Linked DNA regions of Tamandua tetradactyla. The protein of the gene in region 1 purifies or fractionates together with the protein of each later gene. This does not show direct contact. Links are inferred from orthologs where the notes say so. Each region holds a gene or a part of one and is shown in the gene's direction. Other genes may lie near its edges. The genes, in order: CANX, TAP1, TGFBR1 and TECR.

The links.
Region 2: the proteins of CANX (region 1) and TAP1 purify together in Homo sapiens (affinity purification with mass spectrometry; 3 studies listed by BioGRID and IntAct, with this or other methods). This does not show direct contact. The link is inferred for Tamandua tetradactyla from reciprocal best matches to the Homo sapiens genes CANX and TAP1.
Region 3: the proteins of CANX (region 1) and TGFBR1 purify together in Homo sapiens (affinity purification with mass spectrometry; 3 studies listed by BioGRID and IntAct, with this or other methods). This does not show direct contact. The link is inferred for Tamandua tetradactyla from reciprocal best matches to the Homo sapiens genes CANX and TGFBR1.
Region 4: the proteins of CANX (region 1) and TECR purify together in Homo sapiens (affinity purification with mass spectrometry; 3 studies listed by BioGRID and IntAct, with this or other methods). This does not show direct contact. The link is inferred for Tamandua tetradactyla from reciprocal best matches to the Homo sapiens genes CANX and TECR.

What each region holds. Positions count from the first base shown.
Region 1 is NC_135346.1:1,594,968-1,602,520, reverse strand, and holds the start of CANX (calnexin), read left to right. Parts: upstream 1-4,540; 5' UTR 4,541-4,651; intron 4,652-7,553. UniProt on the Homo sapiens protein: Calcium-binding protein that interacts with newly synthesized monoglucosylated glycoproteins in the endoplasmic reticulum. It may act in assisting protein assembly and/or in the retention within the ER of unassembled protein subunits.
Region 2 is NC_135331.1:88,703,263-88,710,824, reverse strand, and holds the start of TAP1 (antigen peptide transporter 1), read left to right. Parts: upstream 1-4,549; 5' UTR 4,550-4,612; coding exon 4,613-5,186; intron 5,187-5,692; coding exon 5,693-5,807; intron 5,808-5,974; coding exon 5,975-6,105; intron 6,106-6,913; coding exon 6,914-7,119; intron 7,120-7,530; coding exon 7,531-7,562. Other genes in the region: PSMB9 (proteasome subunit beta type-9), read right to left, coding at 61-202, 429-558, 1,221-1,352, 2,132-2,199, 3,991-4,050. UniProt on the Homo sapiens protein: ABC transporter associated with antigen processing. In complex with TAP2 mediates unidirectional translocation of peptide antigens from cytosol to endoplasmic reticulum (ER) for loading onto MHC class I (MHCI) molecules.
Region 3 is NC_135328.1:16,290,948-16,298,823, forward strand, and holds the start of TGFBR1 (TGF-beta receptor type-1), read left to right. Parts: upstream 1-4,862; 5' UTR 4,863-4,896; coding exon 4,897-4,981; intron 4,982-7,876. UniProt on the Homo sapiens protein: Transmembrane serine/threonine kinase forming with the TGF-beta type II serine/threonine kinase receptor, TGFBR2, the non-promiscuous receptor for the TGF-beta cytokines TGFB1, TGFB2 and TGFB3.
Region 4 is NC_135337.1:88,450,853-88,458,064, reverse strand, and holds the start of TECR (very-long-chain enoyl-CoA reductase), read left to right. Parts: upstream 1-4,209; 5' UTR 4,210-4,346; coding exon 4,347-4,361; intron 4,362-7,212. UniProt on the Homo sapiens protein: Involved in both the production of very long-chain fatty acids for sphingolipid synthesis and the degradation of the sphingosine moiety in sphingolipids through the sphingosine 1-phosphate metabolic pathway.

The sequences.
Region 1 (7,553 bases):
CATTTTTATGGCCTTAGAACTGTAAACTTGTAATTTAATAAATTCCCTTCTTAAAGAGAATTTAAGACAGAAAGAGCAACCTTCAATCCACCTCCAAGTTCTGGATAGCGAAAGGCAAGGCCATACTTCTTTTCCTGTCCTTGGATTCTTTGGTGTCCTTTGATAGTTTCCTTGAGTTAGTCTCAATATATTTCTATTCTTTATAGGCAGAAAGAGGTCCAAATGAAAAAGCTCTTAAAGAAACTGGAAAAAAAGAATTAGAGTAGCTAAGCTAATTATCCTAATGCATAAAGATTTCTTACTGTGCACTGGTTAGAAGCTGTTATGTACCCCTAGAAGGCCAGGTTCTTTTAATCCATTCCTGTGGGTGCAGACCTGTTGTCTTGGTTAGGTTTCAGTTGCCATGTGACCCAGCCCAATTTAAGGTGGGTTTTTATCCTTTACCGAAGTCCTTTATGAGAGGATCAAAGGAAGAAAAAGCCGAGAAAGCTTAGAGAAAAATCTCCGGAGATGCTCAGAGAGAACCTACAGAAGCTCAGAGAGGAAGCCACTGGAAGCAGGAGCTGAAAGCAGTGAAACCTGGGAACAAAGGACCAGCAGATGTAGACCAGTGCTTTGCTATCTGACAGAGGAAGCCTGGCTGCCAGAGGGCTTTCCTCAGAGGTATTGCCCTGTTGAGGCCTTAATTTGGACATTTTCATGGCCTTAGAAATAAAACCCCATTGTTAAAAACTGACCCATTTCTAGTATGTTTAACCTCACTGTAATAAAAGAAACCTCAATTAAAATAATCTCGTATTGTTCTGTGCTTGTCAATTTCACACTGCCACATTAGTGTCGGTAGAAGGAAATGACCGTTCCTTGCTTAACCAGAAAGAAAGGGCCTGATGGAAATGTAGGGTGCCCCTTCTTTCCCCGTGCTCCTCACTCCCCTTCAAGCAAAGGATGGTGAGAATGAGTAAGGATGAGCTAGCTGGCTTTTCTTCTGGGATCTTGTAAGGTGGAGGAGGCAACTTAATATATAAGAGGAGGTTGGAAAGGAAGGATAAATTGATCAATGCCTTCAGTACAGTTTTGCTTATGTATTTTGTTTGTTTTTTACATGGAGAGGCACCGGGAATTGAACCTGGGTCTCCAGCATGGTAGGTGAGAACTCTGCCTGCTGAGCCACCGTGGCCCACCCTGTTTACAGTAGTTTTAAAATAGTCTTTTTTTTTTTTTTTTTAGTAACTAAGCACATATTTTTACATATGTAAAAATCTATTTGATTATTGAAAAAATAATACATGCATCTCATATGTATGTATGTATATATGTCTTCTTTCTTCCAGAGTCTCAAGCCCTCATAGCAGTTTCTTGTAGTTTTCCAGGGAGCCTGTTTGTCCAAGCTTTTATTTTTAAGAATATATCTCTCTTTTCAACACAGAAAGAAGCATATTTTACTAAGCACTTTTTCACGCAACACTGTCTTGGCAGTCATTCCACATCAGTATATATATACCCTCACCTCATGCTTTTCATACTTCATCTAACCAATTCTCTATGATTGGTCAATTCGATTTTTTCTAGGACTTTGGTACCAAAACAATTATGCAGTGTGTATAACTTTATATGTTCATACATTTTATATGTATATACCTACCAGAACAGTATGTGGATATATTCCATACACATATGAGGATATATTCCCAGGGGTGCAATTGCTGGGTTAAAGGATATGCATATTTCAAAATGGATATAAATAATTCATTTCGAAAAACTTGCAGGTTATACAATAAGGTCAGAAAATATTCAGTCCCATTTCCCACACCTCTAACATCTAAGAACTATACAATGCTTATTTATTTTAATGAGGTATTTTAATGCCGCAGGTACCTTTTGAATTGGTAAGAAAAATTTCCTTCTTCCAAGTTCATTGTCAGCCTCCTACACTGAAGAACATCATGCTCTGGTGGAAAAATCCGCATCCCGAGACCTGCTCTGTCTCAGGCCCAAATCCATATTCCCAGGTCCAACCAAGCCTGAATTACTTCTTTCTGTTGGGGTTCTACCACCTCCAGTCCAGGCCCCAAGCCTCTCTGCACTGGCTTTGTTTCTCTCTTTCCTTAGCCTTCTGAGTCCAATGGGCCATTTGTCAGCATTAATATTTAATGCTTTTATTTCTGCATAGGAAGCCATCTCCGAATTTTCCCCTTATCAACTGCAAGCGCTGGTTTCCTTACCTGCCTGTTTCAGACCTCCCTGGAATGATGGTTAAAATAAGGCTTCCCCCAACACTGAAAACATGACACAAACTTAAAATGTGAAATTTCTCCCTCTAAATTCCTTGGCTAAGCCAGGCTCCAGCTCAACTGTGGAGCCACTTTACCATCTCTCACTTTAATGAACATCCTTCTCCAGCTTGAACACCATTGTCCACAAACACACTCTGCTTGGTTTCTTACCTTTGCACACGCTGTTCCCTCATCTAAAGAAACCTTCCTCCCACCCTCTACTTACAGAAAACCCACACAGCCTACGAGGCCCAGCTCCCATGTTTTCACTTTCCCTGGCCATGTGTGCTGGTTTGAAACTGTTGTTCCCCAGAAAAGCCATGTTCTTTATTTTAATCCCATTTTGTGGGGGTAGGCCTATTGTTGGGTGGTTTTTTTTTTTTTTAACTTTTTTTAAAAATTGTAAAGTACAACATATATACAAAGCAAAGCAATCATTTTCAAAGCACACTACAACAAATAGTTACAGAACAGATCCCAAAGTGTCATGGGCGACCATTCCACCATCTTAGATTGTTCCTTGTAGCTGCTCCAAAACACTGGAGGTTCGAAGGAATATTAATATAGTGATTCAGCTGCCATACTCATTAAATCCCATTTTCTTTGTTATACCTTCTCCTTTAATCCTCCTCTTAATCTATAGGGATTTTTTGGCAACGCCTGTTCTTTTTTCATGTTGAGAACGGATGTGGACAGCAAAGGATATGGGCACATAAATAAACTGATAATCTTGGAGAGGCTGCTCCCTTTGGGTTTCAGGATTTATCTGACCTAGGAATTCTGGTTTTTAAACTTTTTGGTTAAAGTGTTTCCAATCGTGGGTGGTGCATTTTGATTAGGTGGTTTCCATGGAGATTTCTCTACCCATTCAAGTGGGTCTTACTCCACTTACTAGAGTCTTTAAGAGAGAAGAATTTGAGAAAAAGTTTAGAGCTGGTAAAGACTTTTGGAAATTCAGAAAGAAAACGTCTCCAAGTGAGGTGTTTGAAACCAGGAGCCAAAGGACCACAGATGCCAGCCACATGCCTTCCCAGCGAACAGAGATACATTCCATGCCATCATCCTTTCTTGAGTCAAGGGGCCTTTTCCTCAATGCCTCAGTTTGCACATTTTTATGGTCTTAGAACTGTAAACTTGCAACTTAATAAATCCCCCTAATAAAAGCCAACCCATTTCTGTTATATTGCTCTGCAGCAGCATTAGCAAACTAAAACATCATCCTACATGCAAGCAGTTCTTCCCTAATCAGAACCCCACCAACTTCACTTGCGTACCCCCATCTTTTAGCACTTAACCTTTGCTGCAGCAGCGACTTGGCTCACTCTACCTCACTTTGAAGCCCTTTGTTTGAAATATTATGTTGCCTTTAATTCCTACTTTCCCAGTTAAGCAGGAAATAAAAAACAAAACTCCCTTATGCACATTTGGAGCCTGAGAGGTGGCAAACGAAACTAAGGCAAACGCCAGACCCTGAACTCCTCAAATGCCCCTCCGGGAGATCCACCTGGCTTCTATGACACACCCACTGGCTCTAGCTATTCTCCACCGAGGATTCGGCCTTTGGGGAGCAGAGCGGACGGGAGACGGAGCCCTGGGCCAGTTTTCAAGCAACCCTGGGTCGCTCTCACTTCCCGAGCTTCTCGGCATAGTAGAAACTGCAGATGTGCTGCAGGCGGGTGACGCGAGCTATGCGCGTCTCCACGTCTCTGCCGCGCCGGCCTTCCGCGGGCCTGTCGTCCGCGTGTCCGCGCGGCAGGTCTGTACCGGCCTCCACTGCAAGCGGGCCACGAGGCGGCCGCGGCGCGGAGTGATGACGCACAGGAACGCGCCGGGGACTCGAGCCCAGGCCCGCGGGCGGCCCTCGGTGCCGGGCGCCCAGTCCCCGCGCCGGCCCACAGCCCGGGAAGCCTTCCCCACCAGCCCCGAGGATCAGGACCCAGGGCGTGCGCGAACCCAACGCACCTAAAGCGCGCGGCTCATCGGGGCCGGCCCCGCCCCAGGACGCGCGCGCCCGTCGTCCCCGGCCCCGCCCCTCCTCGCTCGCCCAGCCGGTAGCCACTTCCTTCCTCGCATCAAGCCAATCGGCGCGCTCCACGAAGAATAGCCCTAGGAGGCGTCTGGGAAGGTAGCTCGAGCGATGGCCACGCTGACCAACCACAGCCCGGAGCTCGCGCGCGAGGGCGGGACTTGGCTCCCGCCGCCACCACTCCCGAGCGAGGGGCCGTCGCGGGGCGGGACGCCCGCGCCGAGGCTTCTGGGAGCTGCGGCACGTGACGGCCGGGCCGCCTCCGCCGCCGTCTCCACTGCAGCGCGGGGCCGGGCGTGTGTGCAGGCGCGAGTAGGCGCGGGTGCCGCCGGCGGTCCCCGGGAGGCTCGAGGTGAGGCGGGGGCTTGCGAGGGCCCCAGAGGCCGGGGGTCGGGGCACTGGGCCGGATCTGCCGGCCCCAGGCCCCGGTGGGCGCGGCGGCCATGAGGGGCGAGCTCGGGACCTGGGCCTCCTCAGCGGGGGAACCGCGCCCAGGCCGCGCCGCCGGGGCCGGGAGGCGTGGCAGGTGCACCGACCCTCGCCGGCCTCGGGAAGGCCCACCTGCTGCCCCGGCCTTGCGCCTGGGCCTTTCCTGGGCCTCTTCTTGGTAGTGGCTGCGGGGTGGGTTGGAGCCGTCGGGGAAAGATCCCGAGTGGAATCGCGCCGTGTCGGCACTCTCGGTAGGGGGAAGGAGAATACCGGCCGAGGGAGAGGATGCAGGATCAGATTGAGGAATGTTTGGAAAATAAGATTTCGGAGCGAAGCCCGGATCCTGGCACCCCGAGGGGTCGGAGAATGTACTAGAACCTAGCTAGGGGGCTGAGAAACTTTAGTCTTAGCGTTGCAGTACCTCCGGGGGTGTGGGGAGTGACCCCGTCGGAAATTCCCAGTGAAAGGGAAAGCTCACGGAGTTGCGACTCGCCCTGCGGTGGAGGAAACCGACAGGCCCAAGGTCATGCGATTGGTTTAACGGGCGGTTGAGGGTATGATCCAGGGCTAGGTCGTTTCGGTGTAGTGGCGAAGGGTAAGGCCCTGGTTCAAATCCCGCCCGGGCGGTTCGCTAGCTCTGTGAGCTTCGGCAATTTCCATAACCTTTGTGCTCCAGTTCTTGGCAAATAGTGGATATAATAATATCTGGCGGCGTTGAGGAATACATTAGGATGTTTAGAAAATAGGACAGGGAAGCCTGATTCATATAGCGAATGCTCGATAAATAATGATTGCGATAAATGATTGAAATCTTGATGTTGTTTCGCTGTATTGACAGTCCTGTTTTTGAGTTGGACAAGTCTTGTTTTGCAGGACTTGAAGACACCTTGATGGTCTGGGGGGAAGAAACTGGAGCGTGTGAATTAACTTGCTGGCATGACACCAGTGAATGCTGGTTGAGGGAAGTTACACTGAGCTGAACATTAAATGCTTGGGAGGACAGAGGTGAACGACAGTGACGTCTCTTCTAATTTTAAGAAATGGAAGTTTTTGCTTAGCTTTTTAACAAGTAGATTTTGTTTTAAGGGGAAGCAGTGTAGCAATCTTTAAAATGATGCTATATCTTCCTGTAACAATGTCGGAGGGTCCTGAGTAGAATCGACTGCCCCCTTGCACGTTTACTATAATTATCCGTAGAGCACAGGTGAAGAACTGTGTGGGAATTCTCCGTTCCACCAGCCAGGGGCATGAGAAAAGGTCCAGGTAACTGGATTGTGTGACTGCTGGAGAAAAGTATTGGCATGAATGTTGCACAGCAAATGAGTCTCCAGACCTATCTGAAAATGGGTGTCAGCATCCCATCCACCCCATTCCCCCAACCCCCCTTACTATCTTAACTAGGCAGATCAGCTGTCATGTTATCTTTCACAGACCACGGAGTAAACATTGTGGCAGAAGTCATTGCTGCAGTTTTGGCAATCACATTGCTGCATCCTTTCAGTAGAGTTCACTTTGTCCTGCAAGATATCTTACAAGAAAGGAATGACAGTTGGTAATTCATAAGTGTAGGCTCAAGCTGAGCACAGTAATTAGCTCATGTGCTTCCCTGGTTTACACATCTTTAAAATGGGAATGAGATGTCTCTTCAGATGCCTTACTTTTAGGAGGCTGTTTACCTTTGTCCATCTTAGCACGAAGCTTCTTTGAAAAGTGTAGAAAATTGGGCAATTAGGAAAATTGGCAGCTCTTAATAATTCCTGGAAGATAATAAAAGTGCCAAAGCATAGGTCAGTCTATATGGTTTACTGTAGAACTTCATCATAAAAATGCTAGTTCAATGCCTTGTTACTGCAACCGGTGTACAGTTTTAAATTAATTTGGAGAGGAGTGCAGCGGTAGTTCAGTGGTAGAATTCTCACCTGCCATGCCGGAGACCCAGGTTTGGTTCCCAGTGCATGCACTTCCCAAAAGAAAAAACAAAAATTCAACAAATGGTGCAATAATGGGATACTCATATGGAAAAATAATGAAATGTGACCCTACTATACAGCATACAAAAAAAAAAAAAAGAATTTGGAGGATCTTCAGTATGTTTCAAGTATTCACTTCTTAAACTTACTTAGTTGAGAGGAAGAAATAAAATGTTATGGAAAAGTCCATTCTAGTGTTCTGTCAGTGAAAAAATCCATAAAGGTCAACAAGGCAGTTTGGAAGATCTACTTTAAAATGGGTGAGCGTTTACAATAAAGACCACTTTGTATTTTATCTACCTTTTAATTTCCTTTTATTATTTTGTTTTTGACTAGATATGCATGATGGTAAAACCGGAAGGTACCATATGAAGCAGTAAGTTGGTTCATCTGTGACTGCTATTCTTTTAAATGGTTCCTTTCCAACCTAAGACTTAGAGTTTCTTATACTGTCTTAAAACTCAGAGTTTTGAAACCTTTAAAATATGACAAATAAAAGGAGTTATTAGACAATATCTAGTAAGAGTAAAAAAATCCCAGCTGTTGCTGAATATATACTGTAAGTAAGCTAGGCATGTCGCATGCATGGTGTCTATGCAGCAGTCTTAAGAGGTAGATACTGATATTCTCATTTTCTGGATGAAACAGCTCACGCCGAGGGGTTAGTAATTCACCTAAGCTTGTAAGTTGTCAGGTGCTTGAGCAGGACTTGGGAGTCCCTGCTCATAAACACTCATTGCTATTTGTTCTTGGATAGGTTATGTAACTTTAGACTTAGTTTCCTCATGTGTGGAATGGGCATGATAGTACTGACCTAGAATTGTGATGATTAAAGTAGAACACACAGGTGTCTAA
Region 2 (7,562 bases), on another chromosome or scaffold:
TTCACTTCTTTCTCATGTTTAAAAATCCCTTCCCAGGTTCCCTTCCACTTGTTGATTTACCATCTGTAGTGAAGCGTCTGCACTCCTCAGGGGACATGCCTGGTTTATATGCTGCATCCACATAACCGTAAATGTAGGTGCTGCCGGAGCCACCAATGGCGAAGGGCTGTCGCGTCAGCATTCCTCCCAGAGTTCCATATACCTAGGTGGGGGCGTCCTCAGGTCAGACTAAAGAGTCATCAACCTTCCCCTTCGCACTGAGACAAGCAGATGGCCTCCCCATTCTGCAGTAAAGCTCTGGTATCTCACAGCCCAATAGTTGAGACTCTGTCCTTTGAAACTCATTGCTAGAATGACATATGCCTACCATCTTGTTCCATACAGAAGGGTGGAACCCTTGGGGAGGGGGCAAGTTAGGAGACACTCACCTGGCCCCCTTCACGTTGGTCCCAGCCAGCTATCATGAGATGTGCAGAGAGATCCTCCCGATACTTATAGGTGATATTCTTCACCACGTTTGCAGCAGCCAGAACGAGGGGAGAGTCCTCCAGTTCCAACCTGACGGAGATATTAGGCGTAGGGGTCTCATAATCTCCTCAAGTCCCGGCCTCTGGTGCTATTACCACTATACCTGCCAAATGACCTATAATACTTATATTAGTTCAAATTCCAGCTTCCCTTCCACACGTACAGGGCAACCAGGGTTTCAACCAGGGTTTCATGTCACCAATTTATAAGGAGCTTTCTGTGGTCTTCTCCCTGCCCCACCCTACCTCCAATTACTTAATTGTCCTTTGTCTACAAGGACCCTGACCTTGTATGGAAAGGCAGATAAGCTTTATTTCTGCTTGAATGGCCTTGATTTCTCATACATTAACTTTGATCGAGATTATGGTGGGCCACGTGATCATTTTCTTCCTTATTATTTATATCAGTGTAGTGATTTACAGTTTTCAAATGGCTTTCATATATATCATTTTATTATCAAAATAGCCATGATGTGAGGGTAGGTACTAGTATCTGCATTTTACAGGTACCGAAACTGGCTTATAGAGATTCAAGCACGCCAGTTCAAAGCTAATGAAAGCAGGAACCCAAATAAGAATTTCCCATTTCCTAACTCAATGTGCCTGGAACAGAGCCTCACATAGAACTTCATGGGGTTGGAGGAGCTCCAGTAAGCGTGGGGTCAGGAGCTCATGGCCAGTGGAAATTCCTACCCATGGAGTTCCAGCTGGTAGGAGGCCATGTCTGCCACGGCCTGGGCATCAGCAGCTGAGCCAGAGAGGGCACAGTAGATGCGCTGGTGTAGAGGGGTGAGCTTGTCAAACACTCGGTTCACCACTGCCTCTCTGTCAGGAAGGAAGAGCAGTCATCAATGTTAGAGTTGGCAGGAATTGGTAAGGTCAATCAATGAGTGCTTCTCAAATTTATTTGACAAGAGAACAGTCATGGAGTGCATAAAATTCAATGCTTGGATTAAAGCAGAAAGCTAAAACAGTCTCATGGATAAATGCATTGGTGCAAGAATTAGTCAGAGTTAGATTTATTTTTCAGGTTTAGATTTTATTACAGAAAAATAACCCTAAGTTAAGAAGGTAAGAGAAATGTACCTCAACAATTTTTTTTTTTTTGCTATTCATCATCTTGAGAAATGTAATGGAACACAACAAATGTAATATTGATCTAATCCCATATACTGATATTGCATGTGAAGGAATTCTGGCCAGGAAGGGAGAGTAGGGACAAAATTAGCTTAATAGTTGATAAATGAGAAATCAGAATATCTGCTCGGCAGAATCATCTCTTCTATCCCTAAATAGAGATGGAAGGAGGGACCCTCAAATTTCTATCTCTTGTCTCCCTCTAAGACTCTGTTCCTTTACACTCCACCCCCTTATACTACAGGAACAGGCCACATAAGCATCCAGATCCCATGTCCTTCCTTCATAAACTGAGAGACCCAAGCACCTACCCAATATCTTATTATAGTGGCCTGTCCTTTCTGAATGGTCTGGTCCATTTTTCCAAAGCTCCAGTTCACCAGTTTTTTGTTCATGAATGAGTAAGAAAAATACGTATTTGGTGCCATTAGTTCCTTCCAAATCCTTATAGTTTCACGGATACTCACCCTGCAGACACCCGAGAATCAGAGCCCACTACCACGCCCCCATCAAACTCCACTGCCATGATGGTCGTCTGCAGAGACACAGAGAACGGACTTCAGAGCAGGAAGTTCTGACCTCCGTACTACAGGTGAGGAGACCCTGCCGGAGAGGAGAGGCGACTGGCTCAAGGTCATACAGTAATACAGGCCAGGGCAGACCCCAGTACAAGGTCTTTTCTCCATCTTTCCACTTCTCTATTGCCTTATCCCACTTCAAGGGAACGCCACAGCACAGCCTTGATACAACAAATAAAGAACCACAACCCTAAGTCCCAACTTTCTTGGTGAAATCCTTTCCTTTCTAAAGAGAGATGGGGAAAGAGCCTCCTTGAGGTAGAAGTACTCCCTTGGAGGGAAGGGTTCGAGGGCACATAAGTAGTCCCACAAGTGAATTTTCTCTACTGCACAAGCTTATTATATGTTCCAATGGGTGCAGGTAACTTGGCAAGAATCTAGGAATCTGGGAATCAAGGTCAAGTTTGTTTGCCCAGAATCCTCCATTCTCATCCCCATTTAATCAGAAATGAATTTTTTCAGTGTACTGAACAATGTAAAACATTGAGCTGGTCAGTAGTTAGCGGAGCCAGGTATCAGGGCAGGAGGAAAGCAAGGAAGTTTCGCATAAGAAGTTTAAAATAAGTTTTGCTTGAGTTTCTGATCTAGGAGGTAAGTAGATCTTTCAGGCAGTAAGAGTAAGATGTGTACTGGGAGAGGATTGGATCAGGCTGTCTGGGCTGATTTTTTTCTAGGTCAAGAAAAGAATTAAGAAAAAAAAGAAAAGAATTAAGGAACAGTGATGAGGGATAAAGCTACACTTTCTCTACTCCTTGAATTGGAAGGAGTCTTAATGATCAAAGGAAGAAACTGAGTCATAGAGCAGGTAAGTGACACCAAGGTCACACTGAATCACTAGCAGAGCTGGAACTAAAACCCAGGTCTAACTCCTATGAAGTCTGACTTCTACTTCCTACTTTCCATTGCTCGTGCGGCAGTGAAGGGAGATTTTCTAACTTGCAAATGGTTTTACTGCGATTTTCCTCACTGTTATACCTTACTCTGGTACAACAGTTCACCATGCATTTGGCCAGAGAACTGGTGCAACCCCATCCTAGAGATTACTCTATAACAGAGCTGTCTGCAAACCTGGAATGGAGGCAGCAGTCTGGGAGTAGAGACCAGTCAGCCTTGGGGTTGCCATATGTCCCAGGCACCCAGCCTGGGCAGTCTCCCAGCAGGCATGTGGGAGTGGGGAGGGAAGAGTCAGGGAAGGGAACTGGCAACACCTGGAACAAGCAGGAACCTTCCTGAGCCAAGGTAGGGAAAAGCACCACCAGGTCCCACAGAACCCCCGTAATCAGTGCTTGGGCTATTATCACCCGTCTCTGCGGTGAGCTGATCCTGCTCAATCAGTGACCTTATACCCTCTTCCTAAGTGTAGTCCAACTTCATTTAGGGCACCGTCTCCTCATCTCTTTGCATCGCCTCTAGCCCCCGTTTTTGAATTAACCACCCACCTTGTCCACCCCAGAGTGAAAGTGAAAGCTTTTTAGAGCAGCTTCCCCTTGACGCTTCCAGCTAAGAGCCAAAACACCGCCCCCTACTCTAATGCCTCGAATGCCCAGGCCCTTCGCGGCCCCCTAGAAGACCTTCTTCAGAATAGAGATGCCTTAAGTTCACTGCGGGATGCAAGCAAGCCCTAGCTGCTACAAGCCACTTCCCCACATTTCTGTTAGTCTCCGCACACACTCCTCAGCGCTCCCAGGGTCTCCTTATCATTCCACCTTCTCCGACTCTCTGATAACCCTCAACCCCAGACCCATTACCCCGGTATGAACTTCTCCGGTCCGGGGTAAGTCCAGACTCGGCGCTCCCGCCCGCAACATCCCGGCTGCCTCCTCGCTGCCTGGGGCTCTGGTTTTCTGACCTGGGACAGCGCGCGGCGCGCAGCCTAGAGCCCCGCCCCTTCACCGCGCCCACCAGGGGGCGTCTGCGCCCTCGCTGTCAGGCTGGAAGCGGGGACGCAAACCTGTGTGGGGCAGATCTGCCCAGAGACAGATGACGAAAGGGCCCCGCTCTGAGACTTGGATGAGAAAGTTCTAGCAAGTGCGTCCCGCAGGAAAAGACCGGGAGAGGAGCGAAAGATGTGCGTGATGGAGCAGATGGGGACAACGGTGCCGCTCCCTAGAATCTTAGAATTGATATCCAGATAGTCTGGCCAGCCCCATTTGGAAGTGGGCGGTACAAGAGAGCCGGCTGCCGCTTTCGATTTCCCTTTCCCCTAAACGGCTACAATTCTTGGTAGCAAGACCGGGGACTTTCCCAGAGTTCCGCCCCGGCCCGCCCCTGCTCCCGCCTCCGGCCGTCAGCCCCGGCGCATGCTAGGTTACAGACGCAGGCGAGACCCGCAGGCTCCCGAAGGGAACCCGGGACAGCAGCCGCGAGCCGATGGCCGGCTCAGAGTCCCGGGCTCCCCGCGCGTGCCGGGCCTCCTGCGCGTGGCTGGGGGCGACGCTGCTGCTTCTCGCCGACTGTCTACTGCTCCGGCCCGCGCTGCCCGGGATATTCACTCTGCTGTTTCCCACCGCGCTGCCGCTGCTGCGGGTCTGGGGGGTGGGCCTGAGCCGCTGGGCCGTTCTGTGGCTGGGGGCCCGCGGGGTTCTCAAGACCAGAGTCTCCGATAGGGAAAGCACAGGAGTCCAGAGCTGGCTGGAAGCTTTGGAGCCTCTGGCAGTGGCACTGGGTTTGGCACTTCCGGGACTTGCCTCCTTTCGTGCGCTGGGCTTGTGGGGTGTCCCGAGGGATGCAGGCAGCTCCGGGCTGCTGCACTGGGCAGGTCGCGCCGATGTCTTCATCATCAGCTATGTTGCAGCGCTGCTCGCGGCCGCCCTGTGGCACAAACTTCGGGTGTCCTTCTGGCCTAGCGGCTCTGGAGACGCGGTGCTTCGGCTTCTCGCTTGTCTGAGCCCAGAGATACATACCTTTTCGCTCTTTCTGGTTTTGTTGATCCTCTCCTGTCTCGGTAAGAGGGACGCAGGTGGAGACCGGGAGGATGCAGGTGGTTAGTCAGGAAGCAAGTGTAATGGTCATGAGATGGGTGGTGGTAGTGTTATGGGAAATGTGCATCTGGTGACCCAGCTGAGGTCTCGAGGTGACCACTCCCGTCTGGAGAAAAGTGCATTGGACTGGGTGGGCTCAAGCCCGGGTCTCCAGTCCTGTCCCAGGCGCCACTTCTTTGGGCCACATTGGGCAAGACCTTTCCTCTTGGGCAGCAAGAGGAGGGTATTTTACTCCATCTCTAGCCTTTCTAGTTAAACCCTGGAAAGTCTGGTGGAGCAAACATAGGGCCGGGAGACCCAGGGCAGTCTCCTCAGGTAGGGGATTATGACCTCAGTGTCTTCTTTCTGCTTCTACTGTTAGGAATAAGGATAAGGGCAGCTGAGGGGTGGAATGAGGGATAGTCTGGTCAGAGGTGCCCTGCTTAGACTTAGTGTCTGTGACTGACCGGTCTTTCCTCTCCTACCCCAGGGGAAATGGCCATCCCGTTCTACACTGGTCGTCTCACTGACTGGATCCTACAAGATAAAGTAGCTGCTGCCTTCACCTACAACATAACTCTTATGTCTGCTCTCACCATAGCCAGGTCTGGGGGCTGAAGATGGATGGCTCAGAATGGGGGATCCCAGAAAAGAGGGAGCTGGAAATTGGGGCCTGCTGTCCAAAGTGCATAGCATCTGTGGGGGGTACCTGGGACCTTCCTTCTGCATCCTCCCAGCACCCCACCTGACCTTCCTTCTCCTCTGCCCCTAGCGCACTGCTGGAATTTGCAGGGGATGGAATGTATAACTACACCATGGGCCGTGTGCATAGCCACTTGCACGGAAACGTGTTTCAGGCTGTCCTGCGGCAGGAGACAGAGTTTTTCCAACAGAACCAAACAGGTTTTCACGAAACTCTTTCGCTATATGTTCATGTACTCTTTCTGTCCCCAATGCATTCTCTTTTACTTAGAAACGTGATACCTCTCTTATATGCACACATTGTCATTTCTTACTCTTGATGTATCTCAAGTTGGAGCAAAATATTCTTCTCTTTACCTTCAGAAAAACCTAGTTCCTTCTCCAGGATTTTCCCATAAATCTGTACCTCTCTGTCCTTAGATATAAATTTCAGACTTTCATTATGTCCTTAGAAACTATTTGAAAATTTTGACATCCTGGAGTCCAACTACCTCACTTTCCAGAGAAAGAAACTGAAGTTTAGATCCAAAATGCTGAAACTTTTGTAGTCACATATGGATCAAGACAAACTTGCAGGTTGAACCCCAGCCTTTTAATGCCTAGTGCTGTGCTCATTAGAGCCTCCTGGATTGCCTCCTAGCAGCATTCTCCCTTCTCCATTGCTATTACACAACCAGCTTAGGCTCTTCTTGCCTTTATGTAGAGTTTGGGATATACAAGTTCTTTAAGGAACAGGAAGCTTTCCGAAAAATAGAACTTCACATGGTGCTAATTTTCTCATAGTTAAAATGAAGATCTTTGGCAGGTTTTCACAGCCCCTTCATAGCTATTACACTCCTTCTGCCTGCAATGAGATTCCCGAATCCCTCCATACACCCATCCAACCTTGTTTTTCCCTAGAACACTGTGTTGATACCCCCACTCATGGCATCCTGGCTCATTGTTAGTCTTTCTCATCACTCTGAACCCATTGCATTCACTCTATGCTCTTCTCCCCAACCCCTGGCAGGTGCCATCACATCTCGGGTTACAGAGGACACAGCCACCGTGAGTGAGTCTCTGAGTGAGCAGCTGAGCCTGTTGCTGTGGTACCTCGTACGGGGGCTGTGCCTCTTCGGGTTCATGCTCTGGGGGTCAGTGTCCCTCACCATGATCACCCTGGTTGCCCTGCCTCTGCTTTTCCTTCTGCCTAAGAAGCTGGGAAAGTGGTACCAGGTATGTTCATGGAGTTGGCTTAACCTACACGGACCCTTTACCTCCCAGATTTGGCAGATTCATTTCCTCTTGGATTTCTTTACATTCAACTTTCTTGGTACCCTCATAATTCCCCGCCTTCATGGAACTCCCTGTTCCTGCAGTCCCATTTTTCTAGATTGCTCTTCCTTGATCTTCATACTCCCTGTATCTTTTCTCCTGACTTTTACCCAAAAATCTGTCTTTAAGAATATGATTCCCAACTTTTTGATGAGTCCTTTTCCTCTCCCTTATATCGCTCTAGCATAGTTGTATCCTTTTCTTTTCCCTCTTCTCTCTTATTCCTTTGCCTCTTCTCACCTTTAGTCTCCAACCAGTAACTCAGGTACTAATGAACCCTATTTCTTACCAACCCTCTCTGTGCATCCACAGTTGCTGGCAGTACAGATGCAGAAATCCCTGGC
Region 3 (7,876 bases), on another chromosome or scaffold:
CCTAAAATATTAAAACTGCAAAGCTACTAGAAGAAAACACGGGAGAATATCTTTGTGATTGGGGTTAGGTGGAGATTTTCCAGGCTGAACAAAAAAAAATAACTAATTCTAAAAGAACATTTAAAACTCCTGCTCTTTGAAAACTAACATTAAGAAAATAACAGATTAAGCAAAAATATTTGCAATATATATATATATTCAAAAAAAAAGGGCTCATTTTTAGATAATATAGGGAATTCCTACAATCATTAATAAAAGACTTGGATGAGGGTAGGCAACCGTGGTTCAGTGGCAGAATTCTCGCCTGCCATGCTGGAGACCCAAGTTTGATTACTGAAGTCTGCCCATGCAAAAAAAAAAAAACTTGGATGAGAGAGACATAGTCACAAAAAAGGCACATCTTAATTAAATTGCTGAAAAGCAGTGGTAAAGAGATAATCTTAAAAGCAACAGAGGGAAAAAAAAGACTCATTACATACAGAGCAATAAAAAATAATAATAATAACCATGGACTCCACTTCCTAATGAAATAACCTTTGATCTTTCCATACCTCTCTTTGGGATTGTTTGGGCTATGGAATTCTAAATTTTTTATTTTGGATGGGTCTGTCACTAATATGGGGTAGGGAAATGGAATCATCTGATGTTCTGGAGGGGCTGGGCCCTCTAGGTTTCAGGACTTATCTGGTCCAGGGAACCATCTGGAGGTATTAGGTTTCTGGAAAGTTACTCTAGTGCCTGGAACCCTTGTGGAATCTTATAAATTGCCCTAGGTGTTCTTCAGGATTGGCTGGAACAGTCTTGGTTGGGGGTTGGCAGGTTATCATAGGTAGCAAGGTCTACCCGAAGCTTGTGTAAGAGCCACCTCCAGAGTAGCCTTTCAACTCTATTTGAACTCTCTCTGCCTCTGATACTTTACTAATTACAATTCTTTCCCCCCATTTGGTCAGGAAGGAATAGTTGATCCCACGGTGCCAGGGCTGGATTCATCCCCGGGAGTCATCTCCCATGTCGCTAGGGAGACCTTCACCCCTGGATGTCATGTCCCACGTAGGAGGAAGGGTTATGATTTCACTTTCAGAGTTGGGCTTAGAGAGAGTGAGGCCACATCTGAGCAACAAAAGAGGTCCTCCAGAAGTAACTCTTACGCATACCTATAGGTAGGCTAAGCTTCTCCGCTATCTACATAAGCTTCATAAGAGTAAGCCTCAGGATAACTATAAAGTTTTGAGATGGTTTGTTATACAGTTAAGAGAACCATCAGTTATCAAGAGCTAACAATTGTATAAATCAGTAATATAAGTTAAAAAAATAATACAGAAATAAAATAGACAAAATAGTTAGGATGGGCATATGTATAGAACTGCAGCATTCTAAAATTTTTTTAAAGTTTATTTTTCTCACACATTAAGATGCCCATGGGTTAGCATTTAAGTGCTGGTACAGTTGCTCAAGAGACTTATCAAGGACCCAGAATCTCTCCATCTTTATTCTCTACCATTGCGAACTATGACTGCCATCCTTATATTTGCAAAGTGGTTGCTGCACCTCCAGGTATTGCAGCTGTATTCTAGGCAGAAAGAAGGTGAGAATGCAATGAGTCTTTTTTTTTTTTTTTAACGAGGAAAAGAGAATCATTCCCCAAAATACCCTCTGGTAGACTTCTGCTTATATTTCGCTGTCCAGAATGCCACTAGGAAGCCTGGGAAATTGAGACTTTTTAGCTAGGTTAACTGCTTTCCCAAAGGAAATCAGAGTTCTCTTATAAAGAGAATGGAGGAATGGATATGGGTTAGGCAACTGGCAGTCTCTGCTCTGGATTTGGGGGAAAACATCTTAAGGAATAATGCAAAAGGAAAGGCAAACAGTGTACTCAGCATGAAGACTGAGGGGTAGCATTGTGCAGGGATAAGATACTGGAGTAAGAATCTCGTTAGTCCTAGTTACACAGCTGACTTACTGGGGGACTGGTTCTCAGTTTCTCCCCCTTTAAATCAAGACATTGGTGTAGACAACCTGTAGGCCCACTGAAGAGGGTATGGAGACTATGGAGGTAGTTGGCATTTATGATTGACTCCTTATTGCAATAGTGCATTTAGATCTCACAACAAATATGTAAGTAGGTGTCACCCCATTTTACACTAGAGGATGCTAAATCAAAGAGAGATTAAGTAGTGTGCACCGATTCTCACACCTAGTAAGTGACAGTCAGAATTCCAACTAAGGTCTGCAAGACCTCAAAGCCAGAGGCTCCTTTCCACTGCCCATCCTTTCTCAAAAGGTGTAATAAGCTCATCTGTTTTTATTTACTGAATTTTATGGTCACACTTTCCAAAAGAGTGTCTTTCAAAGTGTGGCCTGACCATCTGTAGTAGAATCATCGGGTATGCTTTTTACATATGCAGATTCCTGGAACTCCTTCCAGATCAACTGAAGAAGATTCCCAGACTGGTGGGGGTGGGGGGCATGGGGGATTGACAAGATACAGGAATCTGCATTTTTAAAAACTCCTCGGGTAATCTGGAGACACTTTAAAGCTTGAGAGCTGCCACTTTTAACCTAAAATATATTATTCCATTTTAATGTAGTCTATTTATGGATCTGTGGCTCATGGTACTTTTTTCTTAATATCAGGAAAATCATGTTTTAAAATAGCCTGTTCTTCCTTCCCACTCCTCACTTTCCTGTTGGACTCAGTCAGTTCAATGGAAATACTAAGGAATCAGAGGTATGTCGTGGAAGATGCCCTATCTGAGGCTCTGTAAAGCAAAGGCAGGGGTTAACATGAGCAAAAATCCTGATGAGAATTATACAAAACCGGAAAGGGGATGGGCAAAGGAAATGGCATTAACTAAATATTTATTATGTTCCAGACGCTGTTGCAGACACATTACATCATTTAAGAGACACATGACATGTGATTCAATCCTTTCCATTCGCAAAAAAACTTATTATCCCCATTTTAGAGATGGGGAACCTAAGGGTCAGAGAACAGTCACTTGTCTGAGGTCAATCATTCATTCACTCATTCAAACAATAAACATTTCTTGAGCCCTCTTCTTATGAAGACCCTGAGAAGAACTGCAGTGAGAAGGCAGCCTAGGGACCTCAGGTGTCACAGAACCTGACTTACCCATGAAGTCTCCAATGAAAAAACTGGAATTGAGGGAGCAGGCTGGGGCTGGAGGCTGCCAGAAGCTGTTTCTCCGGCTTGGTCCCCCTGCTGGCAGCCGTGGAGCTCAGCAGCAGCTGCATGCCTGAGTAGGTGGTTTGAAGGATACCTGTCCCTTACCTGGCCGGGGGGTGTGGTCTAGAGTGGAGGAGCAGGTGAAGGGTCTGGAGGAAGGGTCTAGAACTGGCACCTAAAGGAGGATGGGGGAACTCCCAAATCTCATCAAATCTTCTCAGTAACCTTGGGAGGTAGATATTATTTCCAATTTATGGACGAGACACAAAAGCTCAGAAAGGTTAAATGACCTGGCCAGGGAAGTGCCCAGATCCTGCTCCAACACCCCCACCCCTCCCGCTCTGCAGCTCACTGAAGGAAGTCTTTACAGGCCCGGGAAAGGCTCACAGAGTGGCTCTAAAGTAATTTATAAATCGATCGTCCAAGCTGCTGCGGATTCCTGCTACCAACGTTTATTTAATTGCAGGCTCAAATCACACAGAAAATAAAATTTTCTCCTTAAAAGGTTCTGCGGGAAAATGTTCTCTGTTCTATGTAACAGCCTCTTTTGACTGTGTTTGGGTCTGAAGAAAGGACTAGTCTGACAGGAAGAATTACAAATCTGGAGCTCATTTTGGCGTCCCAGTGGGAAGGTGGGTGGAGCGCCTCACTGCAAATTTAGGAATTCAGAATGAAAACGTAGTTGAGTTGATTCGGGTTTTTAGTGACACCTCGAAATTACCGTGCAGGCGTGTTAGAGGCAGCTCAGGATACCCTGACTGCTCTCCCTCCGCCCCGTGGGAGATGGGTGCAGAGAAGGGGAATGTTCCTTCTTTGGGGGTGCAACGTGGGGAGCGGGGGGCTTCCCTTTCCAACCTGGATCAGAAAGTGGGGAGGGGGAAGGAGGGTGGTTTGAAGCCCAGCTCTGGGTCTCTGGGTCTCCTCCTTGTTCCAGGGGGAGGTGGGAGGCTATTTGGGAATGTATCTGAGTTCGGGATCAGGGGTCTGAGGCCAGGATTTGGGGACTTTCTGAGCTTGGAATTTGAGGGGGGTGGTCGGTGCTAGATTGAGGGTGAGCGCTAACAGGAGGAAACAGTGGGACCAAGTCGCCGATGAAGGGCACTGAAGAAGGATTTTGGTATGGGATGGTGTCGGCAGTTGAGGAGTGGAACTGGGCTGGGGGAGCTGAAGCCTGGCTGCAGGGGGTGTCGGGGGTCGGCGTGCAGGGTGTGAATGGAGGTCCGGGTGGGGTCGGGGTCAGGACCAGCTCTGTGCTGCCGCTTACCCAGGGGACTAGAAGCAATGAGTGTCGTGAGGGGCACGGCCTTTCCCGAGAGCGGCTCACACACAGACACACCAGTCCAGGATGGAGCCGGCTAGACGCGGCCCCCACATAGCTCCCCCTCTGGCGGCCCAGACCCAGGGAGCGCTGGGGGCGTGGCCAGCGACCTGGAGCCTGTCGCTCCGGATTGGTGTCCCATGGGCCCGTAGGCGGGGCTCCGGACCGGGCCACGCTCGCCGCTGGCCGAGAGCAGGGAGGGCGGGGCCGGCTGGAGCACGGCAGCCAATGGGAGCGCGGCCCCGGAGCAACTCCAAAAGGCCGAGCGCGGCGGCGGCGGCGGCGGGAGGTGGGGCGAGGCGCTGCTGGCTGTAGCAAGGCGGCGGCGGCCGGGCGGGGCCGGGCCTCAGGCGGCGGCGGTGGCGGCAGCGGCGGCGGCAGCAGCGGGACCATGGAAGCGGCGGCCGCTTCTGCGCGTCCCCGGCTGCTCCTCCTCGTGCTGGTGGCGGCGGCGATGCTGGTCCGGGGGGCGACGGGTGAGCAGCGAGGCGCGCGGGCCGGGCCTCTGGCTCGCTCCATCTCTTTCTCAAACATGGCGCGGGGCCGGGGGCGCAGGTGGCGGCGCCGGGGCCGGGCCACGGCCAGGGCGGGGCGCTGGGCCGGGGCGGGTGGACGCGCCGGGCCGCGGGAAGCTGCCCCCGCTGCGGGCTCCGCGGGCGGCGCCGTCCGGGGTCCGGGGCTGCCTTCCTGGGGTCGGGGCCACCGGGCCGGCCGAGCAGGGCTACCCCCTCGCCGCGCCGGCGCCCTCGGCGTCCTGGTCCCGGGACCCTCGCTCCTCGCGGGTAGATGCCCGCAGCCCCCAGGCCCGGGGCGGGGTCGGACAGGAGCCCCGGAGGCGGGGTGGGGCGGTCGAGTTCTGAACCCAGAGGGCCTCCTCCAGCTGTGGGAGGGGGCGTGGTGCGGCTGCGAACCCCGGGTCAGCCGGGCCGACCCCGCCGAGGGGGGCGGCTTCTCCAGCCGGGGGTGGCTTTGGAAACGGAGCTGCGAAGCTTTGTGTGGCGAGGAGCAGGCCCGGGATGCGCGGAATGTCTGCTCTCGGTGCGGCTGCAAAGGTTTTAGCGAATCCAGTGACCAGACGGCCGCTGATCGTTTCCGTTGTAGAAACTTGAACGTTTGCTCACTCTGCGCGGTTTGGAAGGCTTGAATGAGAATTACTCTGTGAATTGAGCGAATGCTTTTATTTCCTCGAAGAAGAATGTTTGCTAGTGATGGTCCTTATCCTTGGTGACAGGCAGTAGTTTGCAGCAGTCATCCGTGTAGTTGGTTTACAAGGGAGAACGCCTGCTCGCTTTCCCAAAATACTAAATCGGGATGGGGTATAGGTGGTCATCTACTCCGGTAAGGAGTGAAAAACTTCGTATTAGCAACAGAATTAAAATACTGGACACTAAAATATAGGGGCTTAGTGCTAGCAGCTAATATACAGTGAAAGTATGACACCAAATGTTAGGAAAGAAAACAAACGACAATTTAAAAACTTAATTGAAGACCGAGGGTGACAGTTATTATTAGCTCTGATAGCTACTGTCTGTTAAGAGCTGACTGTGCTGTGGATGCAGAGTACACCAAAGCACGTTATCTCATCCTCACAACTAAACCCTCAGGACTAGTGGCGTTTGCCTTATTTTATAGCTGAGAAAACTGAAGCACAGAGAAGGCTAGATTAAGGATTTGCACCCAGGACTCTCTGTTTCCAAAGATAGACCAAAAAGGCACAGCCTATTTTGTTCCAGTCATCTGATGAACACTTGCTCCTTATTATTGAGATTTTGGCCTCACCATTTACATTTCAGTTTGACTTTGTTGTCATTCCTTTCACACTGGGAGTGTGTTCGAGGAAACTGGATTTTTGACATTGGTGTTAGGAGGGGAGCAAGATAACTGGATGGGGAGAGAAGCAGTTTAGTTCCACATCCAGTTTAAATAACATTTCCGTACCACTGTTAACTCTTTTCCACTTATCCTGGCACCTAGCTCTGCGGGGAGCGTTCATGTGCTCACATAGCAGCATCAGGCGCGTTGAATGTACAGAGCAAGCATTGCTCAGTGCATGCCCGGGAGGGGCTTGCACAGTACACTGGTTTGCGGTGTAGAAAGCTAATCCAGATGCTTATGACTCCAAGCCCAGACTTCTTGAACTGGTCCACCTGCCTGGAATGGTTATATTGATATTTCAGCTCAACCTTTTCGTACATGCTGAAGAAGTTAAGCTCAAATGCTTTTTTAAAAAAAATTTTTATGATTTGTCTGCCTTACTCAAGAGCTTGCCATTGTTCCTTATAGTCTGGGTATCAGTTTTATATTTCTCTAAAACAGCCTCTGCTCTCTCCAACATGAATTTCTCTAGAAAAATTGGTTCCCTGTCCCTAGTACACAGTTTAGTACCACAATGTCCACATCTATAGCCCATAGGAGAATACTAGTTGCTTCCTTTTTGCCATCTCTTCCCTTTACCTTGGAAAACATACCTCAAACGCAAGTTTTCTTTATATTAATACCTATTGAATATGTATCTTTCTTTCTTTGTGTGGGTCACCTTAGTCCTTTGTATCAGCTAAGTCCTGCCCATTATCCCTCACATTTGAATTGCTTCCCACTCTTTCTCTGTCTTGTCTTTTCTGTGGGCTACTTCCAAACTCATCTTCCTCCGCCGTTCCCAAAAGGGCTTTACAAGATTTCCCGTTTGTGCTCAGCACTTAGAGCACACGATGGAGGCTGACGTTAGGGCTATCTCCAAATCGCCAGCCAGAAGTCTCACTTCTCACTGCAGCAGCCCCTCAGTTCCAGTGATTTCTGTCTTCCCGCTGACTCCTTACTGTTTAGCCTTTACACTGCATATTTAATTTTGCTCCTTTTCGGGAGTGGGAGTAGGAAGGTTCTCAGTTTTGACTTCCTGTATTCTTTATCTGCTTGAACTGTGTAGGACTTACAGTTGGTGTTGTCTGTTTCTACCCTCTTGCACTGTTATTCCGTATATTTTACATACCCAGAGGGTGAGGATCATGTCTTTTATTTCCTTTATGCCCTCAGAACCTAGTACTGTTTTGTATTCTGTTCCACTTCAGTGTTTGTTGATTAAATGAATTCCATTTGATTGACTGTTCTTTAGTACTTACTGCGTTTAGTATTCTTACTGTTATATGTGAGTGCAGTTTATGTAGTATTAGTTTGTAGTTCCATGTATTTAATCTGGGAAAGTTGACCAGTGAAAAAAGCAATTGGTTACCACATTTATATTTCGTACTTTGCCTAATTCATAACACTGTGAAGATGAAATGAGAAAGAGTTTGTGATTTGGTATTGTTAGTATTGTAATAGGCAGCACTGATGCTCAACCATTGATCCACTCTGCCATATGTGTCTTTTGATTG
Region 4 (7,212 bases), on another chromosome or scaffold:
AATACTACTCTGCTATAAAAAAGAACTGGTGACTGCTACATGAAACAATGCAGACAAACCTCAAATGCATTGTGTTTAGTGAAAGAAGCCAGACTCAAAAATCCATCTACGAGAATAAAAAAGTATTTGCAAAGCCCCCTGGAGGAACTGGGGAGAAAGGAGGAAATCTTAAACTTCCCCTCCTGGGGAATTCCTGATATTCTCGCAAGCAGTGGGGACAACCAATTTAATAGGCCGAGCCCTTGATCTTGGGGTTTGCCCCTATGAAACTTATTGCCTCAAAGGAGAAGCTAAAGCCTACTTATAATAATGCCTAAGAGTCATCCCCAGAGAACCTCTTTCGTTACTCAGATGGGGCCTCTCTCTCTAAGCCAACTCAGTAGGTGAACTCACTGCCCTCTGCCTTATGTGGGACATGACTCCCAGGGGTGTAAATCTCCCTGGCAGTGTGTGAAAGAACTCCTGGGATGAGCTGGGACTGGCATCACAGGATTGAGAAAGTTTTCTTGATCAAAAGGGGAAGAGAGAAATGAGAAAAAATAAAGTGTCAGTGGCTGAGAGATTTTAAACAGAGTTGAGAAGCTATCCTTGAGGTTATTCTTATGCATTATATAGATATCCTTTTTTAGTGTATGGTGTATTAGAGTGGCTGGAGGGAATTACCTGAAACCGTTGAACTGTATTTCATATTCCAGTAGCCTTGATTCTTGAAGATGATTATATAACTATATAGCTTTTACACTGTGACCGTGTGATTGCGAAAACCTTGTGGTTGATGCTCCCTTTATCCAGGGTATGGACAGAGGAGTGAAAAAAAACAAGACAAAAAAATAAATAATAAGGGAGACAAAGGGTAAAAAAAAAAAAGGGTAGATTGCAATACTAGTGGTCAATGAGAAGGGGTATGGGATGTATGGGTTTTTCTCATTCCTTTTTATTTCTTTTTCTGGAGTGATGCAAATGTTCTAAAATTGATCATGGTGATGGATACACAATTATGTGATGATATTGTGAGCCACTGATTATATACTTTGGATGGACTGTGTGATGTGTAAAGATATCAATAAAAAATAGTTTAAAAAACAAACAAACATGCTGCCTGATGTATGATTCCATTCATAGGAACTTTTGGAAAAGGCAAAACTATAGCTACTGAAAGCAGGCCAGTGGTTACCAGGGCTGTGGCTGGTTATAAAGGGGCATGAGGGAATCTTTTGGGGTGGTGGAAATATGTTTCTATAGCTTGCTTGTGGTAGAAGTTATGTGATTGTGTATGTTCAGAACTATACACTGATCTGGGTGAATTTTGCTGTATGTAAATTATACCTCAATGAAAAAAACCAAAGAAACATATTCACAATAGCCCAAAGGTGCAAGGAACTCAAATGTCCATTGCAGATGAATGGATCGACAAAATGTGATGTTTATGTACCATGGGATATTATTTGGCCATAAAAAGGAGTGAATTTCTGACGTGTGACAACACGGATAAATCTTGAAGATGCCATGTTGAGTGAAATAAGCCAGACACAGAAGGAATAATATTACATGATTTTGCTTACAGGAAATGTCTAGAATAAGAATAAGCCAATTTGTAGAGCAAGAAAGTAGATGAGATGCCTGATGGGGAGAGCAAGGAAATGAGGAGTTATTGCTTAATAGGCACAGAGTTCTTATTTGGGTGATGAAAGGTTTTGGTAATGGATGTATTATAACTTTGTGGATGTAGTAAATGCCACTGAACTGTAGTCTTAAAAGTGGTTAAAATGGGAAACTTTGTGTTATATATGTGTTACTGCAATAAAAATTTAAAAGGATGGAGGGAAAAAACCACACATACACAAATATCCTCTGGATTTAAAAAGAAGGGAAGCCAGGAGAGGGCCTGGGAAACCTCTCTCCCAGGTCCCTGACATGATAGAAAATTGCTAACCAGCCTTGGCTTGTCGGCTCTTGTCTTCTTCAGACAACCCTGCCCAGGAGGATCACGTACCCGGAGACATAAGCCACGCCAGGTTTCGGGAAAATCAAAACGATACTTTACTAGCACTTGGGAAATACAAAAGGGGCTTGTGAGACACACACTAACAAACCCACCAGCTCTTTGATGTCCAAATGACGGTGGGTTGGCCCTGCTCAACCTTCAAAACTGCCCCAGTGCAGGTCCCCTCTGGAGTTTCCCCTTTAGAGGTGGCTTTAAACGGGCTTGCCAGCAACCACCAAATATATCCGTCGGTCGCTGTGCTGGGGATGCTGAGGACATGGAAACATTCATCCCAGCTACTGTACCCATCCCAGTACCATCCCAGCCACCGTACAGCACCATGGGTGACTCGAGCAAAGCAGCCAGCCTTAGTTCAGAGGATATTTCTGCAGTCAGCCTGGTCACTGGAACGAGGGGAGGAGAATGAGGGCCCCCCCTAGCCTGCACTGTCGGTCAAACACGAGGAGGAATTCTACTTTCTAGGTCTAGATTCTGAAGGTGGGGCTCATAAAGACACCCTCAAAGGGGAAATTCCAGTATGATCTGAGTCCGTAGGAGTATGCATGGAATCTCTCCAAAAATCACGTCTACTGGGCCATCCGCCTTACCTAGCTGGAATCCAGCCATAGAGAAGGCTCACCCACTCAGACCACACGGGAGAATGCAGATATCAGCAGAAGTGGCAAAGGAGCAAATGGGGGCTAGAGTTTGGAGGCTTAACCCACACCCCACGGACCATTCACAACTAGATAACTGGAGTAATGCAACCGAGCCCAACTTGCCGCCTCCAAGTGTATAGCCATGCCTCTCTTCCTTGGGAGGGCAGGGAGCAAGGCCTGTCTAGAAGCCTCCAAACTGCCAACAGAAAAAGATGTGTGCTTTTGAAAGCGCAATTAGCAAACACCTTTACATTTTAATCTGCTTTGCTCAGAGAGACACAGTGAACTAGATAGGTGTTTCTGAAGTCTGCACGCAGGCATCGACTGAGTTTATTCGGAGACAGTGGGTCCCAGAAGGCTACGGCTTCCCGAAGTTTCTCCAGAGCTGAACCGGGATGACTCAGTGTCAAGTACTGACTCACCCTCTCCCTGCTCAGCTCCTCTGTGAATCAGTGATCTACCTTTGAGAACTCCTTACCATGTTGGTGAATTCCAGAAGGGTTCAACAACTGCTGAAGACTACCGTGAACAGAGGGCCTTTGTTCCGAGGCTCAGGGGCAGGGTCTGGAAGAAGGAGAAAGGAGAGAAGGTGAGGGACAGTGCCAGGAGCTGCTTGCTCCTCAGGTTGTACTGAGATCTTCAGCGTTTGTGTGCGTGTGTGTTTGCATGTGTGAGTGAGTGTGCGAGGTCAAATGGTGAATCACTACTGTGATTCATGCCTGTGATTTCAAATGTTCTAGTAGGTGCATTAATAAAAAAAAGTAAAAGAAACAGGGGAAATCAATATCTTTTAAAGTTTCTAAAATAGCATTTCAACATAAAAAGTTATTAAAAAGGTATTTTATAATCTCCCTCTCATGTAAATCTTGGCAATTGGGCATGGGCTTTGCATTCACAGCATATCGTAGTTTGGACCAGTCACATTTCAGCAGGTAGAAACATACGTGGGTCCCCTGCCCAAAGGGATAAGGAAGGTGGCACGGGAACTTGTGCTGAAAAGGGAGCTGAAGATACCCCCAGAATGGGCCGGGGGTCAGTTTTCAGGTTAGGGGGCGTTCCGGGGGGGTGATCTTCACTACCCCTTCCCTATCTCCCCTTCCCTCGCTCCATTCATGACAGATAGGGTCACCCCCCCCGACGCTGAAGCCTCACCCTCCAGGCGGCCTAGTCCGCGCCTCCACCCCCCAAACCCTCTCCCGGGACCCCCGGAGGCCGCCCACCTCGTAATTAACTCAACCGCGCCGCCAGCCATGTGGACCCTGCTCTCCCTGTCACTCAATTTCTTGCTCCCGCCTCCCACCTTTCCGCAACCGTCGCGTCCTTTGGTTTCCAAGGCGACGCGGTCAAGGGGCGCTTGGCGCCGAGGCCCTCTTTTGATTGGTGGGTGGGCAAGCCCCGTCTTTCCCACAAGCGCCCTCACACCGCCCCGTTCGGTGGGTCCCGCGAGCCGATTGGCCATTCCCATGGGGCGAGGCCGGTCCTCACTTGGCCCGCCCCGGGGGACGGGAGCGAAGGTGGGTGCCCCGCGCGCTGATTGGCCGGTGGGGCCCGCGCGCGCGCACGCGGCAGGGAGGGGAGGGGCCGGCGCGGAGCTGCAATTAGTCTCGCGCGGCGGCCGCGAGCGCGGGAGGCTGCTCGCTCCGTGTCGCGGGCAGGGAGTAGCAGCATTCGTAGCGCAGCATCGGCTGCTGTGAGAAGGAGCGATGAAGCACTATGAGGTAAGAAGCGAGGACGCGGGGGCTGGGTGGCCTCCTTGGATACCCCTTCTCTGTTTCTTCTTTAGCGGGCGCGCGAGCCATCCCGTCAGGCTCCTGCGCTCCGAGGAGGCGAGCCCAGCGGCGCAGGCGCAGTGGACGCGCGCTGCGCCCCTTGGCCGCTCACAAATCGAGATGCGCATGTGCGGGGGAGGTTTTTAAATTTAATTTAATTTTATAATTCTGCAACCAGGCTGTTTTGGGGGGTGCTTTCTTCCTGGGGTCTCTGCAGGGCCTGGGCAGCTTATGGGTGCCCTTCGGCTCCCACAGCGGGATGAGTTGCAGGTTTTGGCAGGGGGGGAGCGAGGGCGTGGGATTCCTGCTTTCCATTCTAGGACAAAATCTTGCGCAAACCTTGCACCATTGCCACCGCCTCCGGCTTAGCAAGGGGCTTTGCATTCGCCACGACCTTTGGACCCCTTCCCTCGCCCCGCAAGTCCCGGACCAGCCGAGACGGTGCCGTTTCAGGGCTGGCTGCAGCCGAGCTGCAAAGCTGATCTTACTTTCTGCTAGTCTTAAGAGGTCAGCTTAGCCAACTCCTGCGTGGCACCGAGGGGAAATCTCACGTTTTGAAGCCCAAGACTTCTGACTCCTAACTTCGGTATCTTTTCTCTTAAAACGGAGTCTTCTGGTGAGCTTATCGTCCTGGTCGACAGTAGAATACGAACACTTTAGTCATTTAACCGTTGCTGCCTTTTAAGTAACTTTATCCATAAAAAGTAAACTTATTGAGATTAATAATAACACAGTGCAAATAAAAAGTCATTTATCATTTGCGTAAAAAAAAGGTTAATTATAAGAATAGCAAGTGCTTACTCTTAGGGCTAGTGAGATTCTATTACCTTCCTTCTGTTATCTAAGAGGTCAGTCTATTTTATTATTCCTGTTTTTATAGATGAAGAAACAGTCTCAGGGATAGCAAGTGACTTGCCCGAAGACCTCAACCTAGTAAATGCAGAAGAAAGAGAGCAATTTAGGATGGTATCTTGTCCAAAGTCTTCTATGCCCTGTTTGCCCCTCAATGGAAATTAGCAGGTCTAGAGATTTCTTGGTTCTGTTCACAAGTTGAATACCACTCTCTCTTTGCCCCCTTTACTATTGTTACTATTATTTTAGTAATTTGCCCAGATTCCTTCAAGTCCTTCCACAAATCCTCAGTCATTTTTGATAGGGTACCAAGAAGGAGAAGGTAGGATCAAATAAAGTCTCATGCCCCATTTAACTTTATGATTCCAGAATAAGGTTCTTCTAACACAGATTTCCATTTCAAACCCTCCATGTAACCCTAGAGAAAAAGCCAGGTTTAATTTGAAAGATGGAAGATACCAGGATGGAAGAGCCACATGAAATTTTGCAAAATGAAGTCAGTTGCTAGTCAGCAGTTGAATAAAGAAGGTCTCCGAGAACCCTTGGAGTGGGTGATGCATAGAAGCTGTGAAAAAGTTTGATGGCCCCGGCTTGGATTTCAGAATAGGTTCCACTTCATTTCAAACCTTTTCCTTCCAGAAGGAAGAGGGAGCTTCAAACCCACTGCTCTGAGTGACCTTGGAGAATAAAATATATTGTTGTTTTGCGGTGTCCTTCTTTGCTATCATTCTCTGCTGATATCTGCTAAATGCTGCAGCTACAGGGTTTCTCTCTCAGAGCTGTGCTTGTACAAGCAGTGTTTTTTAGCCGATCACCAAAAATAACAGAGAGGCTTTTCTTTGCATTTAGCAGAGGTTTCAGTTATCCATATCGAAGAATTTATTTCTGTTTGGGACTAAATCCATCGCCCACCACCTCCAAGCAACCCTCCAATCCACAGAGTGGTTAGCCTGTCTCAAAAGACTTGTATGGAGACTTTGGATTAGATCACAGAGTCCAGTTTACTAGTGAGAGAAGCAGTATCACAGAGGTGTGGGGACTTGTTCCACTGTCCCGGCTGGGTCAGGGCAGAGTTCTAGCTGGTGGAGAGATTTGTTGCTGCTTTGATTACTGTTTCATATCACTGTGATCTGAGGGGTGGTAGGGGCGGAAGTATCCCCCAAGGCTTAATTGAGACAAGCAGCTGAAAGGGTCACCCTTCAGGCCTGTACTGAAGCTGTCTCCTTTCCAGGCCAGAGCAGGTCTTGGAATTATCTTGAGGTCAGCACAAGGTTGATAAGACAACTGTTTACCCTGACAGATACTCAGCCTAGCAGGATTGTTATTATTATATTTTTTAATTGCTGTTTAAGACTCCTGGCAGATGAGACTCAAAGTAAGGATCTCAGGAGCAAATGGAAAAATTGCTTTCAAACCCTTTAAATTCTTTATCCCCCTTAGCCCACTTCACTGCCGGTTTCCCACTGCCGGGTACTGAAAGCAAGAAAGCACCGCTTTCATTGAAGATCTTCCATTAACCAAACAAAGTAGCTCTTTTGGGCCCACCTTGCAAATAATCCTAGACCCACATCAAGCAGGTGGTTTCCTTCAGCTTCCTTCATGGGAATAAATACCTGAAAGTCTTGGGAGAAGAGTTCTGGTCAAGAGGCAATTGTTTGGAGCCAGAAAACTGGCAAGGAAGGCGAAGATAACAGGAGAAAGTAAACTAGTATGTAATGATGAGGTGGGTGCATGGGCTTTGGGCCAGAGGCGAAGCTGGTTCCGCCACTCACTGAGTGTGTAACAGGGCAAGTTACTTAGTTCCCTGGAGCCTTTCTGTGGCTGCTCCCTGGAGCAGAGCCCATTTAATTGCGAAATCAAAGAACAGTATTCCTAGAAATATATCAAAAGTTATGCACAGAAGGGGAGTTGCCACATGGAGCCCTGGTTTATGCATTTAAGAAATGTT